Linked DNA regions of Elephas maximus indicus. The protein of the gene in region 2 interacts with the protein of the main gene of each other region in a pairwise test. Links are inferred from orthologs where the notes say so. Each region holds a gene or a part of one and is shown on either strand. Other genes may lie near its edges.

The links.
Region 1: the proteins of LRRC7 (region 2) and NQO2 interact in a two-hybrid assay, tested with the Homo sapiens proteins (2 studies listed by BioGRID). The two-hybrid records come from large-scale screens. The link is inferred for Elephas maximus indicus from reciprocal best matches to the Homo sapiens genes LRRC7 and NQO2.

The regions. Positions count from the first base shown.
Region 1 is NC_064819.1:43,491,740-43,500,229, reverse strand, and holds the start of NQO2 (ribosyldihydronicotinamide dehydrogenase [quinone]), read right to left. Parts: upstream 3,936-8,490; 5' UTR 3,792-3,935; intron 2,896-3,791; 5' UTR 2,680-2,895; intron 1-2,679. UniProt on the Homo sapiens protein: The enzyme apparently serves as a quinone reductase in connection with conjugation reactions of hydroquinones involved in detoxification pathways as well as in biosynthetic processes such as the vitamin K-dependent gamma-carboxylation of glutamate residues in prothrombin synthesis.
Region 2 is NC_064821.1:115,849,127-115,858,407, reverse strand, and holds the start of LRRC7 (leucine-rich repeat-containing protein 7), read right to left. Parts: upstream 3,954-9,281; 5' UTR 3,597-3,953; coding exon 3,595-3,596; intron 1-3,594.

The DNA.
Region 1 (8,490 bases), on a different chromosome or scaffold from region 2:
GAGACAGCATATGATCAGGAACCGATGGTACTGAAGGAAGAAGTCCAAGCTTCTCTGAAGGCACTGGCAAAAAACAAGGCTCCAGGAATTGATGGAATATCAATTTACACATTTCAACAAACAGATGCAGTGCTGGATATGTTCACTCGTCTATGCTAAGAAATATGGAAGACAGCTTCCTGGCCAACTGACTGGAAGAGATCCATATTTATGCCTATTCCCAAGTAAGGTGATCCAACCGAATGTGGAAATTATAGAACAATATCATTATTATCACACACAAGGAAAATTTCGCTGAAGATCATTCAAAAACGGCTGCAGCAGTACATCGACAGGCAGCTGCCAGAAATTCAGGCTGGTTTCAGAAGAGGACGTGGAACCAGGGATATCATTGCTGATGTCAGATGGATCCTGGGTGAAAGCAGAGAATACCAGAAGGATGTTTACCTGTGTTGTATTGACTATGCAAAGGCATTGAACTGTGTGGATCATAACAAATTACGGATAACGTTGCGAAGAATGGGAATTTCAGAACACTTAATTGTGCTCATGAGGAACCTTTACATAGATCAAGAGGCAGCTGTTCAGACAGAACGAGGGGATACCGATTGGCTTAAAGTCAGGAAAGGTGTGTGTCAGGGTTGTATTCTTTCACCATACCTATTGAATCTGTATGCTGAGCAAATAATCTGAGAAGCTGGACTATATGAAGAAGAACGAGGCATCAGGATTGGAGGAAGCTTCATTAACAACCTGCGTTATGCAGATGACACAACCTTGCTTGCTGAAAGTGAGGAGGACTTGAAGCACTTACTAATGAAGATCAAAGACCACAGCCTTCAGTACGGATTGCACCTCAACATAAAGAAAACAAAAATCCTCACAACTGGACCAATGAGCAATATCATGATAAACGGAGAAAACACTGAAGTTGTCAAGGATTTCATTTTACTTGGATCCACAATCAACAGCCATGGAAGCAGCAGTCAAGAAATCAAAAGATGCATTGCATTGGGTACATCTGCTGCAAAGGACCTCTGTGAAGTGCTGAAGAGCAAAGATGTCATATTGAAGACTAAGGTGCGCCTGACCCAAGCCATGGTGTTTCCAATTGCATTATATGCATGTGAAAGCTGGACAATGAATAAGGAAGACAAAAGAAGAATTAATGTCTTTGAATTGTGGTATTGGTGAAGAATATTGAATATACCATGGACTGCCAAAAGAATGAACAAATCTGTCTTAGAAGAAGTACAACCAGAATGCTCCTTGGAAGCAAGGATGGTGAGACTGCGTCTTACCTACTTTGGACATGTTGTCAGGAGGGATCAGTCCCTGGAGAAGGACATCATGCTTGGCAGCATAGAGGGCCAGCAGAAAAGAGGAAGACCCTCAACGAGGTGGATTGACACAGTGGCTGCAACAATGAGCTCAAGCATAACAATGATTGTGAGGATGGCTCAGGACTGGGCAGTGTTTTGTTCTATTGTGCATAGGACTGCTATGAGTCGGAACCGACTCGACGGCACCTAACAACAACAGTGACTGAGAAGTTAGGGATTGGATCATAGTCTCTGCCAACCCACCTCTTGGCTACCCAACATAAACAGAACCCTGATTCATTCAGGGTGTCAATGTGCCCAGCTTCCCTTGAGATAGGGGGGTCAATGAGGAGTAAGCAGAAGTCATTCACCAGGGCTCAGCTGCGAGTACCGTTCTGGCCCCTGCCACTCTCCTTTTTCCATGGAGTGTGGAACAGTGACCCAGGCCCAGCCAGACATCTTGTTGTCCTAGGATAGAGGCTATGGTCTAAGGATGGTGGGCACCTGGATTCCTGATGGCTTCTGAGAGCTGTGAGATGATTCTGGATTGCCAGCCTCCAGATTTCTTTTACATGAGATCAAGCCCCTCATTTTATTTCACCTGGTGGAGTTGACTCTATTACTAGTAGTGAGAGAAACTCAATTCCTAATTACTGATTGGCAGCTTTCTGCTAGTACTGCACCAAGTGCACAGGACAGAAGTGACTGTAACAGAGAAGAGGGAAGCGCCATACTCTTGGGGGAGCGTGGTTGTAACAATAAACAAGCAGGCAATGAAAGCCACCACAGAATCTTGGAAGGTGGTGAGCAATATCAAGAAAACAGTGCGTGGGTGGATAAAACCACAGGGCTAGGACTGCTATGGTAGTAGGCTTGCCCCAGGTGTCTCTGAGCAGGGAAGTGAATGACCATATGGAGCTGGCCAAAGACCTGGGGGCACAGAGGCCCAGGCAGTGGGAGGGCCCTCAGGTGGGAGCTGGCCTGGGGAGGTCAAGAAACAGCAAGTGCATGGCTGGACTGTGATTTTTTTAAAAAAAGGAATTTGGTGGTGGGAGATGCAGTCAGGGAGGAGCTGGGGTCCACTAAGCTGGGCTCGCAGGTCAGGGGCAGGGGATTCATCCTAGCCTCCCAGAAAGCCATCGGGGCATCTTCAGGAGGAGTGGCATGGTCCGTTTATCTTTAAAAGAGCACTGGTGTCAGGGCAGACTGGGGAGCACCTTATCCTGTGGCCTAAAGTGAGGGCCCAAGACCATCTTAGTTTGGACCAAATGCTTTCAGTGCATATGCCTCAGGCACGGCGTGCATTCTTTAGCCTCCCCACGCCCCCAGCCCCCACGGTCCCTCGAGCCCAGCTTACATGTCCACATCACCAGCCTGACCGCACGAGGCATTCCAGTTGGGGAGTACCCATCTAGGTCAAGTCCTCTAGCTGCACAGAGTAAGAAACTGAGGTCCAGGACGTGAGACACCCAAAATATCAGAAAAGACTCAAGCCCAGGTGTCCTGACTCCCTTAGCGCCATTCTCCAAGGCTGACAGTTTTCCTCCTTTGCTAGAAACAAGGCACTTAGACACTGTTATAGGAGAAAAAAAAACCGCATAGTTATTAAGCTACATCTACCACCTCAAATCTGCTGATATTTCTGATGCATAGCTAGTTCATCCTTTCAGCCTCCAGCGCTGAGGCCCCCTCCCAGGGGACGCCCTGCTCATTGCTCTAAGGGCAGGATAGCTCCCCGGGATGCACTGCTGTTTGCAAGCCCGCGGGCCCTTTCCCTTCCTGTTCCTGGACACGCAGGGGATTTCCATTTTTTAAACACTATAAATTGCACTTCTGGAAGCATATGGAAACCCCGGTGGCGCAGAGGTTAAGAGCCACGGCTGCTCACCAAAAGGTCGGTAGTCCGAATCCACCAGGCTCTCCCTGGAAACCCTATGGGGCAGCTCTACTCTGTCCTTTGGGGTGGTTATAAGTCAGAATCGACTCGACGGAAACGGGTGTATGTGGAAGCACAAATTATTAAATACGTTTTCTCTTTCTTGGATTTCTTTAGCTGAAATATCAATATTTAATATCAGAGAGATTAAAGGTTAGAGGTGGTATTTTTTAGGTTTTGTTACAGATTGCCACAAAACCTTGAGGAAGACTGGTCTGAACCACGGCGGCCTGTTCTACGTGTAGGAAGGACGTAGTCCCTGGGGGTCCGCCCAGGTCTGACAGGGACACCCCATTCCCAAGAAGATCTCGGGCAACCCATGTCGCGGCGCTGCCCCGTCTCCTCATTGGTGACCTGCGGACACTACAGCCCCGACTTCCCAGGGTCGGGGCAGATGATGGGCAGAGAGCCAAGAACCGGAATGTTCCAAATGGTCCACGTCCCGTGCCGCACGCACCACAGGGACCGTGCGTTCAGTCCCCGCGCCCAGCCCCGTCCCCTCCAACCTCCCCCCGGATGCGGGGAGAACTCACCCTACGGAAGCGAACCCGCCGGCCGGGAAGTGAAAATGGGAGCCGCAAGGGGTCAATGCACAGCCTGGACGCACGCTGGCGGGAGCGCCCTAGGCTGCGCGTTCCTGGGGTGGTGCTGCGCAACCCGCCGCCCCGCGCCCTCGCCCTCGCCCTCGCCCCCGCCCCGCGCCCTCGCCCCGCCCCGCGCCCTCGCCCCGCCCCGCGCCCTCGCCCCGCCCCGCCCCACGCCCCGCGCCCCGCCCCGCCCCGCGCCCCGCCCCGCCCCGCCCCGCGCCCTCGCCCGGCTCCGCGCCCTCGACCCGCCCCGAGCCTACAGCCTTGAACGCTGCCCTCCCTCCCTGGCGCCGGGAGCTTTGAACCCTGCCCACCCCGCCCCCAAGCAGAATGTAAGTGTATGGAAACCACTCAGCAATAAAATGGGACGCACAACCTGCATGAATCTCCAGAGAATTATAAGTGGAAAAAAGACACAGGTTATGTACTTGTGTGAGCCCATTGACACAACAAGCTCGAAACGACCAGAGAGAGTATATACAGTTAAAGGCTTAGTCCTTGCCTGGGGTGAGGGAGAGAGGTGAGCACCCCTGTAAAAGGGCAACAACAGGGATCCTTGCAGTGATGGAGCCCTTCTCTGCTTGACTGTGACAACGTCAGTACCCAGGCTATGATATTCTATTGTACTTTTGCAAGTTATCATTGGGGAAAATGGGTGAAGGGTGCACGGAATCTCTATATATTGTTTCCTAGAACTGCATAAAAAATATGAACCTACAATTACTCAAAATAAAAAGGCTTAATTACCAAGAAGAAGGGGAAGGAAAAGAAGAGGGAGGAAGAATAGGACAAGCAGGAAGTGGTTCAAGGTGTAAGCACAGGCTTAAACTATCCCCACTCCTGAAAGGTAACCACAGGGTTAAATTATCCCCCGAGCTCCCCCCATCACAGCCAGGCTCTCTGAGTTCCTGAGAAGGCATTTCCGTGTTACAGCCCGAGGTCGCCTTACTGCTTCTTTGCTCAAGGCTGCTTCACTACTCACCAACTGCCCCCGCCCCCTCCATTCTGACAGGAGCAATAAGCTGCAAAGCTGTGCTTAGATAAACTTCACTCGTCATACATGCACCCCCACTGCACCCCATGGATGTTAATTAGCTCCCGAAATTGCCCGCTTATTCCCAGAAACTTTGTGAATTAAGCATAAATTCCCTATCCTAAACCCTGTAACTGACCTAGAATCCCCAGCTTTGGTGAGCTTGATTTGAATCTTAGTCTCCAAGCTCCTTGCTTGACCGGTGTGCAATAAGGTCCACTTTCTCTTTCTCAAAGGTCTGGGCCTCTCAATTGACTCAATGGGCCGCACTGGGCAGAATCCACCCTCACTGGATTACAAAGGCCAAGGACATCCCTTGAATTCTTGGAAAAGCCCCAGGTTGCAAAGGCATTTGGGGTAATTGTCTCTTTTCCAGCACCCTCTGGCCTGTGCCACGTCTTCTGGAAGCCCACTTGCCCTTGTGGCTTCCCCAAGACCCCTCCTCAAACTGGATGCCTGATGTCTGGTGCTCTACGATGGCCCGATTTCAGCAACAGAAGGAAGATGTTCTCTGTGTCCATCGATGGTGGTGCTGATGAAGTTTGTAGCCCCTATTGGTTGCTGGAGCTCTCCCTTTTAGACTATATGTTACACGTGTGACCTCTCCCTGTCTCAGGGCGCAGTGTCCACATGTCTGTCCGTCTGCTGTTGCTGTTTTCAGAGGTGGGAATGTGGCCTCGCCGGGAGCTGTCCGCAACCCCTGTGCTCCCAGGCTGGGAATGGGCCACCTTGTCTTCTCAACCCAGGAGGTCCTGGGACGGTGGGAAAGGTGCTGAGGGCACTTCTGCCAGAACTAGAATGTCTCCACAGAGATCAAATCCTTGGCTCCTTTCTGGCCAGAATCACTTAAGGGGAGTCCTTGAACCATCTTTGTGTTACAGAAAGTGAGTGAATCATCCTAAGAAACGTAGGTGCAGGCCCTCTGGAATCACTGAACCTCACAAGGTGGGCAGGAAGCCCCCCTGACCAGGACAAGGGGTGTTCAGATCTCGTGTGAAAATCGGCCAGGCCTCTGGGTGGTGTGCGTGCCCTGGAGAGGGCCGGGAAACTGTGGAGTGGCAAGTGCTGGGACCAGCCCTGGAGCCATCCTAGTCAGAGGCATTGGTACAGAGATGCCTTGTCATCCATCCCAAGGCAGGGGAGGAGCTGCTGCAGTCCCTGCTGCCTCTGAGGCCTGGCATCTGCACTCAGGCCAAGCATGACCATGGTGAGCAGCATCTCCATGTGGTGGCAAGCAGGAGGTACAGGTGTGGACAGAGGGGACCCTGGACTGCCTGCGTTCCGTCTTGCCTTTTGCACTGTGTCAGCCCTGTGTCATTATAACCCTGGTTATAATGGACAAAATACAGTAGATGCATGCCTGACATACCATAATGTGTTATATATAAATACATATCATTCCTTTTTTTTTTTTTTTTTGTGGGTGGAAAGCTATTAAATACAATGGAAAAGAACAAGGGTTTCTCAATAAGAATAAAGCAGGAGGCATAACGTGGTATGTTCAAATCTCCTCATGAATCAACCCCACGTGTGAAATGAGAAAGGAAATGGCTCTCTAGAGGAGCAAAACCAGTGAAGTGTTCGTATAAATATATAGAAAGAGATTTTCTTCAAGGAAATGGCTCACACAACTCTAGAGGCTAGCAAGTCCCAAATCTTTGGGTCAGGGAGCCGGCTGGAGGTTTCTCCTGGCTCATACGGTTGCAGGAGCTGACGAACCCAAAATCTGCAGATTAGGCAGCAAGCTGCTGGTTCACAGGGCTGCAGTAGCTTGTGAATCTCAAAATCTGAAGGTCAGATAGGAGGTGCTGGCTCACATTCCTGGAACTCTTGATCAGAGGATGATGAGTAGGATGCAGAGTCCAGAGAGAGCAAGCTTTGCTGGAATATGCATATGTTTTGGATGTAGGCCACACCCACAAGGAGCCCCCCCCATCCAACTGATTGACTGCTCACATCAGATCACAAAGTAGAGGGTATTTATATAATATTTTCCAAACCACTGAGAATCATGGCCTAGCTTTAACCATCACAGGAAGCCTTATGGCAAACTCAGACTAAATTACCTCTAGATGTGTCTATAACCCATGCAACCTCATGGGGAACTTAACATTTTTGAGCATAAAACATGTATCCTAACTACACTCAGGTTATTAATACACAATGGTAACGGCATGCATGGTGGACTAAATAACATTAACCCATGAGACAGAAGAGAGTTTTAGGAGAGATAGTTGCCAGTCTAGGCAATTATGGAACAAGTTAAATTTGTCTTAATTAGGCAGGGCATTCAGAAGGGAAATATTTTTTAGCTAAATTGACCAATTAGGGGGAGTTTTCTTCCAGGAGGAAGACAAAGAATAGGTATCAGTCTAGAAAGATGAGACTTTAGTAAAGTGGATCCGGTGGAATCAACAAACAGTATTGGATAATGCCAGGGCACAGCACTGAGAAGGTGCTTGTATCTTGAACCAGTAGGGCCTCTTGACTTTTTTGTTTTTTAAATTTCTTTATTTTGGTGAAAGTATGCACAGCCAAAGATACACTGTTTCAACAATTTCTACATGTGCAGTTCAGTGACACAACATTCTTTTAAGTTGTGCTAACATTCTCGCTATCTTTTTCCAAATTATTCCCCCACCATTATCTTAAACTTACTGCTCCCTAAGCTTCCCATCCAACCTTTCAAGTTGCCATTGCCAATTTGATCTCATACAGATAATTCTTTAAAAGAGCATAATGTTCAAAGCTGTGCTTTCCTAATTCAGATAAACTATTCTTTCGGTTCAAAGAAGTTTTTAGGGAATAGTTTTGATTTAAGGTTTAAATTTTGAGTATTATCTCAGGGCAATAGTTCTGGGGGTTCAGCCAGCCTCAGTGGCTCCAGAAACTCTGGATTCCATTAAGAATTTGAAAGTCTGCTCCACATTTTCTCCCGTTTTACTCAGGATTCTTCCACAGACTCTTTGATCAAAATATTCCATAATGGTAGCCAGGCACCACCCAGATCTTCTGGTCTCATGTGAAAGGAGGCAGTTGTTTATGGAGGCACCGAGACACACATTCAATCCCCTCCTCTGGTTCCTGACTCTACTTCTTTCTCTGTTGCTTCAGGTGAATGGAGATGAATTGTTGTGCCTTGAACGGCGGCTCGAATAGCAGAGTGTTTTGATGATAGGCTGTCCTTTGACCATGGCAGTGGCCATGTAATCTGGGCCAACCCATTAGATTCTCTCTCAGGAATTTGAATCTTGAGTAGAGGACCAAGGATAAGGAAGGCATTTGGAAGATCCACAGGATCCTGATGCTGAAAGCTATAGAGCTTGCAACAGAGCTTCCTTTGACTCTGTGAACTTCTGATATCCTTCCATTAAATGCCTCCCTTTTGTTAGCTCACATTTGTACAAAGTGTTTTAGTGTGAAACCTACTGCAACCATCACACTTAAGAGTGAAACATTAAATGTATTCCCTTTAAGCCAGGAATAGGACGGATCAAATATCATTGTTAATATTCAGCGTTGTATTAGAGGTCCTAGTCATGTGACATGTCAAGCAAAGACATAAGTGACAAAATATTAGAGAAAAAAAGGAAAGCTGTAATTATTTGAAGA
Region 2 (9,281 bases):
ATCATCTCCAATGTGTCTTTCCTTAGTGATATGAATTACTTAATGGTACACTGGCTTGGCAAAAACTAAAGGTTTATTCTGTGCCACAGATCTGACCTAACAGTTTCTTCAAAGTCATCTTGAAAATTCTGTAGACTGACTAGACTCACCCAATAAAGAATGGATGATACTCTACAAAACAATTAGCAGAGATAATGAAATGCTCCACATATGGGGTTGGGGTATTGGTGTGGTTGTTAAAATCTTTACACTCAATAAAGAGTATGTATTCTCAAAGTGAAGAATTTTAAATATAAAATGGTTCATTAAGGAAAAACTGTACTAAGAATCTAATGATGATGTGAAATAATTCAGTGATAATTATCAATAGTTGGTACTCTTTGTGTCCTGTGTTAAGGAGGGTGTGGAATAAAGTTAATCATATAGTACAATGTATGATTCATTCTTTGGGGTCACAGTCATCCAGAAAATAAAATTATAGTACCAATAGGTATCATTTTGATACATCACTTATCTTCAAGATTTCAAATGTTCTAAATAGTGGGCATTTTAAGTCATGATTCAGAGAACGGGTTTTTAGATCAAATAATTACCATGTACTATGAACCGAAAATAAGAGGAAGCTACGAAATACCCCCTGAGAATTAACACCCATATTATTATGTGGTTAATATATTTATTTAGTGGCTTTCAGAAAGAGTAAAACTTCATCATGATATTAACCCATATCCTCATGATTTTTTAAAAATCCAAAGCAAACAAAAATACAAGCACCCAAAAATGCTTTATGATCTATATTTTATAAAGAAAACAGGAAAATTAAAAGCTTTAAAAAGTGGAATGTGACTTTAAGAAAATTTCAATGCCTGCCTAAAGCAGTGCTAAAATTCTGAATAAAATGTGACTTCTTTAATTGGATCAGGTTTGCTTTTCTTTGAGAAGTTGTTTCTAATTCTGAAACTGCATATGTGCAGGCACACGTGATGCAGAATGTAAGGGTTGCCATGGTAAGTACACGTCTTTTCTTGGACAGCCAAGTTAAAAAAAATACATAAAGAATGCTCATCTCATAATATGTCATGGAAATTGACTCTGCTTTCCCTGACATTTTAACATATTAGTATGATGTAATGCAGCAAAGGACAGAAATAGCCCACATTTAAAAACTTAAGCCCATTCAGATGACTTATAAAAGATGGAACAACAACAACAACAAAAAGACAGTAACAACAACAAAAAAATCTCCAAGCCAGGTAACTTTAATTACACATTGAGTCTGGATGCAAGTTCTACCTCCACTTAATTGTGAAATAACTAGACCTCATGACATTTCACAGGCCTAGCCAACTCTCCAGGAGTCCAAACACAGGCATCAGGACATGGCTAAACATCATTTTCAACATAGCTTTTAGTCTCAAGACTTCTATTTTTAAGGAAAAATAAAAATCGTTCTTACACCCCTAGTTTCTTATTCTCTCCCGAGTGAGATCAATGGTTTCCAACTGGTAGTGACTATGTTCTGCTCTGCTGTCTTTTGCAAAAACATCTCATGGTGGATCCTGTAGAGTCCGAGGAAGTCAGCTTAAGGACACCTGGATGGAGGCGTGACACTTGGACTGGGGAGGTGTCAGAATTCTGTCGCGAATCACAGCAGGTTCTGAGGCTCTGGAGAACCCACGTGTTCAGGGATTGCAGAACTTTTCTACCGCCTATCCCAAAGGAAACCCCTCATTTTAAGTAGGGGGGTGGCCGGGACTGGGCTTGGGTGGAGGCGGGAGAGATTGGTGGCTTTGAAAGAGAAATAGCAGATTTCAAGTCCTTTACAGGTGCTTTACCTTTACCTGTGCTTTTCTTCCCTCTATTCTCTCCTCCAGCCAACTTTATTATTTATTCCTCTTACAGGAGGAGGACTTGAGCAACCTGGAGGCTGAGGATCTCATAGGCTCAGCCTGGAACAAAGAAAATCGAGTTCCTAATACTGTATCTCTCGGGTTGGAGGGATCACGTGTCCTGCTTTCGCTGGAATGCACTCTTCTCGCCCACGCTATAAAATCTCTATTGTGCTTAGAAATTTTGCCCAGGTTAAAATATGCTCACAAACAAATTGCTTTTCATCCATCAAGAGAGCTACATCTCAGCGTACACAGGTACACATATTTACGTGCTGACCCAGTTACCACTGCAGGTAAATTGGTTGTGTTCAAAGGGTGCTGGGAAAGTAACGGAAAAGAGCAGGTGGAGGATCCCTGTATCTCACCGGTCCCTTCCCCCCCTTTCTGAATCCTTTTGAAGGAGAACTTTGAAATGAACGTGGGAGTCGCAGATGGTTCCTTTCTGAAACCCATTCCCTGGAGTTGTGAAAGTGACCCCTTCCCTTCTCCGCCTTGCGCTGCGCCCTCTCGCCAGCCTGCTCGCTTTGTGAATTGGTGGGGAGGAAAACAGCGAGGGAGGAGATAGGAGAGGGCGGAGGCGGGTCCTTTATTCGGCCCTGATGGCCAAGAAGTAGTGTAATGAAGCAATTTTGTAGACATTTCCGTTATTATGAAGTCACACTGTTTGAAAAGGCATTCTATACAGCTCCCACCCCCATCCTACTTCTTGACTCTACAAACATAAAGACTAGAAACCTCCGCTAGCCAATCTAATTGTCGATAAGCCAGGGTGCCATGATTACCGTAATGTTAAATGTGCCTCCCTCCTTCTTTCCACGTAGGACCGGAAAGACGTCCTGCATGCTTAACAACTCCGAGGTGAGGATGCACGATGCTGAAGGGGGCCCAGCGCTGCTACGGGGAATAGAGCAGGTTCACCAGCTTCGCGGTGCAACACAAAGGAGATGTGTAGGCATGAGTTCTCTGGAGAGGGGGAGGGAGGCATCGTTCTCCTGACTTCCAGAGAAAGCTTTCGCTCCACCGTTCCCCCACTTCTTTCCGTCCACCAGTCTTTCGGGCTCCACCGTCCCCCCTTTCCGAAACCCCACCCTTTCTCTTTGGTCCCCAATAACATAAAAATCTTCTAATTGTGTTTTTCAAACAAATAGACACGAAGGCAGTAATACAACATCTTCCAAGATAAAAAGACAAGTGCGACCAGCCACAAGTGTGTGTGTGTGTGTGTGTGTGTGTGTGTGTGTGTGTGTGTAGAGCGATCGAACAAGCGCTTGATCCCTGAGACACGGCCGGGGGTCGGGGGGGGGGGGGAAGCTACCTGGAGATATCCAAGATAATAAAGAGAAGCAAAGCCTAACCTCAGCTCGACAAACGGTCCAGCACCAGCGTTCAACACTCGTTCTTTACCTTTCGCTTTCTCAGCATGTAACCCTTTAAAGTCTCCTGGCAACCCAGGCCACTCGGTGCTCCCATGCACCCACCCGGCTAGCACCCATTCCAAATGCCCCGAAACCTACCACATCACCGCCACCGCTGCCGGCAACCGCACGAGCAGCTGAAGCGAGCGCGGGAGGCTTTCGCTCTCCCACCCCCGCCCCCGGCCGGCCGCTAGGGTCCCACACCTCACGCGCCCACGGTTGCCGCTGCTGGAGGTGGCAAGGCACCCGCAGCCCCCTCGGCCACCAAGCAAGAGTGTTCTACTCACATCGCAGGCGGGAGAAACTGCCCATGAGGTTCCCGCGAGCGTCACTGGTGCAGCTGTCAAGGGGTTATTCCTTAAAGTGTTCCGGGGTCCGCAGTGGAGAAGGTGCGAGGGTCCTCGGAGGAGGAAGAGAGCGGCGGAGGAGGAGCTGGAGGAAGAGGAGGAGAAAGGGGATTCCAGGCAGGAGCCACGTTAGACCATGATGACAGTGCCCTTCAGGTAGACGGCTGGAGAGCTTCCCGCGGGAAGCAGCCGAGGGGAAGCCCGATGCGCGGGTAGGGGAGGCAAGAGCGCGTCCACTCCCCAGCCTCCGCCAGCCCTGCGCGCCGCGCTGGCGACCGCAGCGGTAGCGGCGGCTGCGGCGGCCGCGGCGGCGGCGGTGGCGGAGGCGCAGCTCCCTCCCCACCCCCAGAAGGCTCCACAGACAATAAATCCTGGGCGGAGAAGAGACGAAATGGAAAAGGGAATCTTGCACCCAACTCCGTAACCCCCTTTGTCGGCTGCGGCACCTCTACCGGACAAGGATCCCCGGGGGCCGGGACGCAGCGGGCAGCTCAGAGGGTTCGTGCACTCTCGCCGCTGCAGGCGGCGGCGGTGGCCGGAGTGGGAGTCTGCAGGTACCGCCGGTCACAACCTGCTGTCCGGGGCTGGGTGCCCGTGGCTTTACGCCCGGAGTTCGCCCAGAGAGGGAGCCTCCTCGGTGCAGAGGCTAGGCGCACAGGTGCCGGGATTGGCAGGCGAGGAGGCGCCGCTTGTGGCTCTCCGCTGTGTCTCCCCGCCCCCTCTTCTTTCCCACCCCCTTTTCCGACGACACCAGCTGCAGCTGCTTCAAAGTGTAAAAAATGTCAAGGAGATTTTCCGACAACAAAAGGGGGGTCCACGGCCACAACCCTCAGGCCGTTTTTGCGATTTTGGCCTATCCCTCTGACCTCTACTCTTGCTCCCCTAAATTGTGACAAGAAAATCCCAATCCGGCCGAGAATTGAAATGCTCGCCTTCTCCTGGCTCCGACACAGGCTGTTTCTTGAGAGTGGAACGCCAGGCCGAGCTCTCTGGGCTCCTCGTGTCTCCCGCGGTGCGCGAGGCAGGTGGCACGAGGCACGGCGCCCGGCAGCGCTCGGCCGCCGGCTCCTCCAGCTCCCGGACGGGCCGGGGACGCTGGGACAGCGCAGAGTCCTGCAGCGCAGGCGACTCGCCGGCAGAAGCGGCTCCGGGCTTCTACGCCTCCCTGCGCGCCCCTCCACCGGCACCAGTTTGGTGACGCTGCGCTCGTGGCTCCTCAGGCTGCTGCTTCTGCTTTCTCAGCAAAGAGGCGGCCAGGAGCGCCTCCTCGGGGTTTCCTCCCCCGCCCGCCTTTCCTGCTGCAGGTTGTTGGCTACCAAGGAGAAAAGTCAGTGGTTGCAGGTCGGGTCGCTTCCCGTCAGACGTGGCAGCGACCCATATGCCTGCTCTAGGTCCCCTTCTCCTCATTCTGAGGCGGGGTTGCTACCCTGGCTTTGTGCAAGAAAAGAAGGGATTTCTCAACTTTCCTTCATCCACCGCCCCTCCTCCAGCCAGCAACACGCTCTGTCTCACACTCACACACACTCGTTTTTATCTCACATAAAGACACACAGAGACACTTCCTTCTCGTACACTTCTCTTTTAAACTCTCATAAGCAGCAGATTAAAAAAAAAAATACATTGATGAAGCTAGAATTATGAAATTAGTACAATATTTAGACGTTTCCTTTATTTTTTAAACACATCAGATGAATACTTATTTTTAAAATGTATTTATGATTTACGAATTATCCTGAAACCTTTTTTTTTTTTTTTTGGTGGGGGAATGGTATAGGCTATACGGTTTTTGTTTCTTCATTAAGGAAAGGAATTTTCCCTTTTAGTTCTCTAAATTGCCAAAAGAGTCAGACCGTGGCCTTCAATTGCCACTTCTCAGTGGATTTAAGGTAACGGTTTACTGAAACAAGAATTTTTTTTTAATTGCTATTGTTCTTAGATTTGAAATGCTAACAGCTTCAAGGTCAAAAATCATCTTTTCGGGCTGCTAGGGATGGTCTAGGCAAATCTGCTGCAAAAGACCTATTTAAAGACTTGGAAAACCAAGATGTCACTAAGGATGTCACTTTGAGGACTAAGGTGCGCCTGACCTAAGCCATCATATTTTCAATCACCTTCTATGCATACGAAAGCTGGACAATGAATAAAGAAGGCCAAAGAAGAAATGACCCATTTGAATTATGAATTTGGTGAAGAATATTGAATATACCATGGACTGTCAGAAGAACAAACAAATCTGTCTTGGAGGAAGCACAGCCAGAAAGCTCCTTGGAAGCAAGGATAGTGAAACTTCTCATGTCATCATGCTTGGTAAGGTGGAAGGTCAGCAAAAAACAAACAAAAAAGGCCCTCGCCAAGATGGACTGACACAGTGGCTGCAACAATGGGCTCAAACGTAGCAAATATTGTGAGGATGGTGTAGGACCAGACAGTGTTTGTTCTGTTGTACTTAGGGTTGCTGAATTGGAACTGACTTGATAGGACCTAACAACAACAGGGATGGTCTACGAAGAGACTTTGAGACTGGCACCTAATCTGCAGAGTACCAAGGAGGAAGGTTCTTTCTCACTTTATCTGGGCCATGAAGATGGGCTGTTTTTTCGAGATAACTCCCCAGTATTTCATACAATTTACATATAGACAGGGAAAGGAGTGAGAGGATGTTTTCATAAGTCACATCATTTTTAAAAAGTGTTATGAAACTCATCACAGAGAAAGGGTTCTGAAATGGCAGGGAGATTAGAAAAATTTTTTAAAAAATGTTAAAAGGACAAAATTTGTAATTGACCTCAGCTGACCTCTATTTTTCACTCTTAGGTTTTTTTTTTTTTAATTAATTGTGCGTTAGGTGAAACTTTACAGAGCAAATTAGCTTCTCATTAAACAGTTAATACACAAACTGTTATGTAAAATTGGTTGCTAGCCCCTTGATAATGTCAATACTCTCCCCTTCTCCACCCAGGGTTCCCTGTTTCCATTCCTCCAGTTTTCCTGCCCCTTCCTGCCTTCTCGTCTTTGCTTTTTGGCTGGTGTGTCCATTAGTCTCCTACACATGATTGTAATAGGAAACACATTCCTCATGTGTGTTATTGTTGGCCCTATAAACCTGTCTAATCTTTGGCTGAACAGTGAACCTCTAGAGTGACCAGTACTGAGTTAAAAGGGTGTCCAGGGACCTTACTCTCAGGTTCCTGCAGTCTCTATCAAACTAGCTAGCCTGGTCTTTGTGTGTGTGTGTGTGTGCGTGAATTGGAATGTTGTTTTACATTTTTTCCCGCTCTGGGACCCTCTGTAGTGATCTCTGCCAGAGCAGTAAGTGGTGGTAACTGGCCAGGCACCATCTGAGCTCAGTCTGGTGGAGTTGTCCATTAGTCCTTTGGACCAAACTTTCACTTGTGTCTTTGGTTTTCTTCATTCTCCTTTGCTCCAGCCAGGGTAGGAACAGTAGATGTATCTCAGAAGGCCACTCGCAAGCTTTGAAGATCCCAGAACCTACTCATCAAAGTAGGATGTAGAACATTTTCTTTATGGACTGTTATACCAATTGACCTAGATGTTCCCTAGGAACACGGTCCCCAGTCCTCAGGCCAGTAGCTCTGCCCCTCATAGCATTTAGATGTCTCTGTGAAAATTATAACTTTGCCCTGGTCAAATTGTGCTGGCTTCCCCAGTATTGTGTACTGTTTTATCCTTCATCAAAGTTACCACTTATCTACTATCTATTTAAGTGCTACGGCTGCGAACCAAAGGGTTGTCAGATCCACCAGGCGCTCCTTGGAAACCCTCTGGGGCAGTTCTACTCTGTCCTATAGGGTCGCTATGAGTCGGGATCGACTCAGCGGCACTGGCACTGGCTACTATCTAGTTAGTGTTTTTCCTTCCCCATTCTACCCTTCCCTTATAACCATCAAAGATTGTTTCTTTCTGTGTAGAAACATTTTCATATGTTTGTATAATAGTGGTCTTACAGTATTTTTCCTTTTGTGCTTGACTTATTTCACTCAGCATAACACCCTCATGTTTATCCATGTTGTGAGATGCTTCACAGATTCATCATTGTTCTTTATTGTTGCATAGTATTCCACGTGTGTATGTACCATAGTTTGTTCATCCATTCATCTGTTGATAGGCATTTAGGTTGTTTCCATCTTTTTGTTGTTGTGAATAATGTTGCAATGAACATGAATGTGCATATGTCTATTTTTGCGATGCCTCTTATTTCTCTAGAATGTACTCCTAGGAGTAAGATTGCTGGTTTGTTTGGTATTTCTATTTCTAGCTTTTAAGGGAGTGCCACATTGTTTTCCAAAAAGGTTGTACCATTTTGCATTCCCACCAGCAGTGCATAGGAGTTCCAATCTGCTCACTTTTCCAACATTTGTTATTTTTTGTATTTTTGATTCATGCCAGTAATGTCTGAGTGAGATGGTATCTCATTGTAGCTTTTAGCTGCATTTTTCTAATGCCTAGTGATCATAAGCATTTCCTCACGTGTCTGTTAGCCACCTGAGTATCTTCTTTGGTGAAGTGCCTTGTCATATCCTTTGCCCATTTTTATAGGTGTTGAATTTTCCTGTAGATTTTAGAGATTAGACCTTTGTCAGATATGTGATAACTAAAAATTTTTTCCCGGTCAGTGGATTCTGCTTTACTCTTTTGGAAGTCTTTCGATGAGTGTAATTGTTTTAATTTTTAGAAGATTCCAGTTATCTAGTGTCATGGATTGAATTATGTCCCCCCAAAAATGTGTGTATCAACTTGGTTATGCCATGATTCCCAGTATTGTGTGGTTGTCCTCCATTTTGTGATTGTAATTTTATGTTGACAGGATTGTAACACCACCCTAACTCAGGTCACTGCTCTGATCCAAGGTAAGGAAAGTTTCCCTGGGGTGCGGCCTGCATCACATTTTAGGTCTTAAGAGATAAAAGGAAAGGGAAGCAAGCAGAGAGTTGGGGACCTCATGCCACCAAGAAAGCAGCGCCAATAGCAGAGCTCGTCCTTTGGACCCAACGTCCCTGCGTGAAGAAGGAGCTCCTAGTCCGGGGGAACATTGATGAGAAGGCCAACAGAGGGAGAACTTTCCCCTGGAGCTGATGCCCTGAATTTGGACTTTTAGCCTACTTTACTGTGAAGAAATAAATTTCTCTTTGTTAAAACCATCTACTTGTATTTCTGATATAGCAGCACTAGATAGCTAAGACATTTGAATTAGTTTTTGTGTATGGTGTGAAGTATGGGTCCTGTTTCTTTTTTTTGCGGATGGACATCCAGTTTTGCTGGTACCATTTGTTTAAAAGACTATCTTTTCCCCGTTAATGGATTTTTTGTAGTTCTCTATTCGTGTATAGGAATCCAACTGATTTTTGTATGTTTATCTTGTATACGGCTACTCTGCTGAATCTATCAGTTCCAGTAGTTAAAGATTTTTTTTTGTTTGTTTTTTATGAATAATATATCATCCATGAATAGGGATAGTTCTACTTCTTCCTTACCGATTTAGATACACTTTATTTATTTATTTTTTTCTTGCTTTAGTGCTCTAGCACATTGTTAAATAGGAGTGGTGATAAAGGACATCCTTGTCTTGTTCCTTTTCTCAGGGGGAATGTTTTCATCCTCTTTTTGTT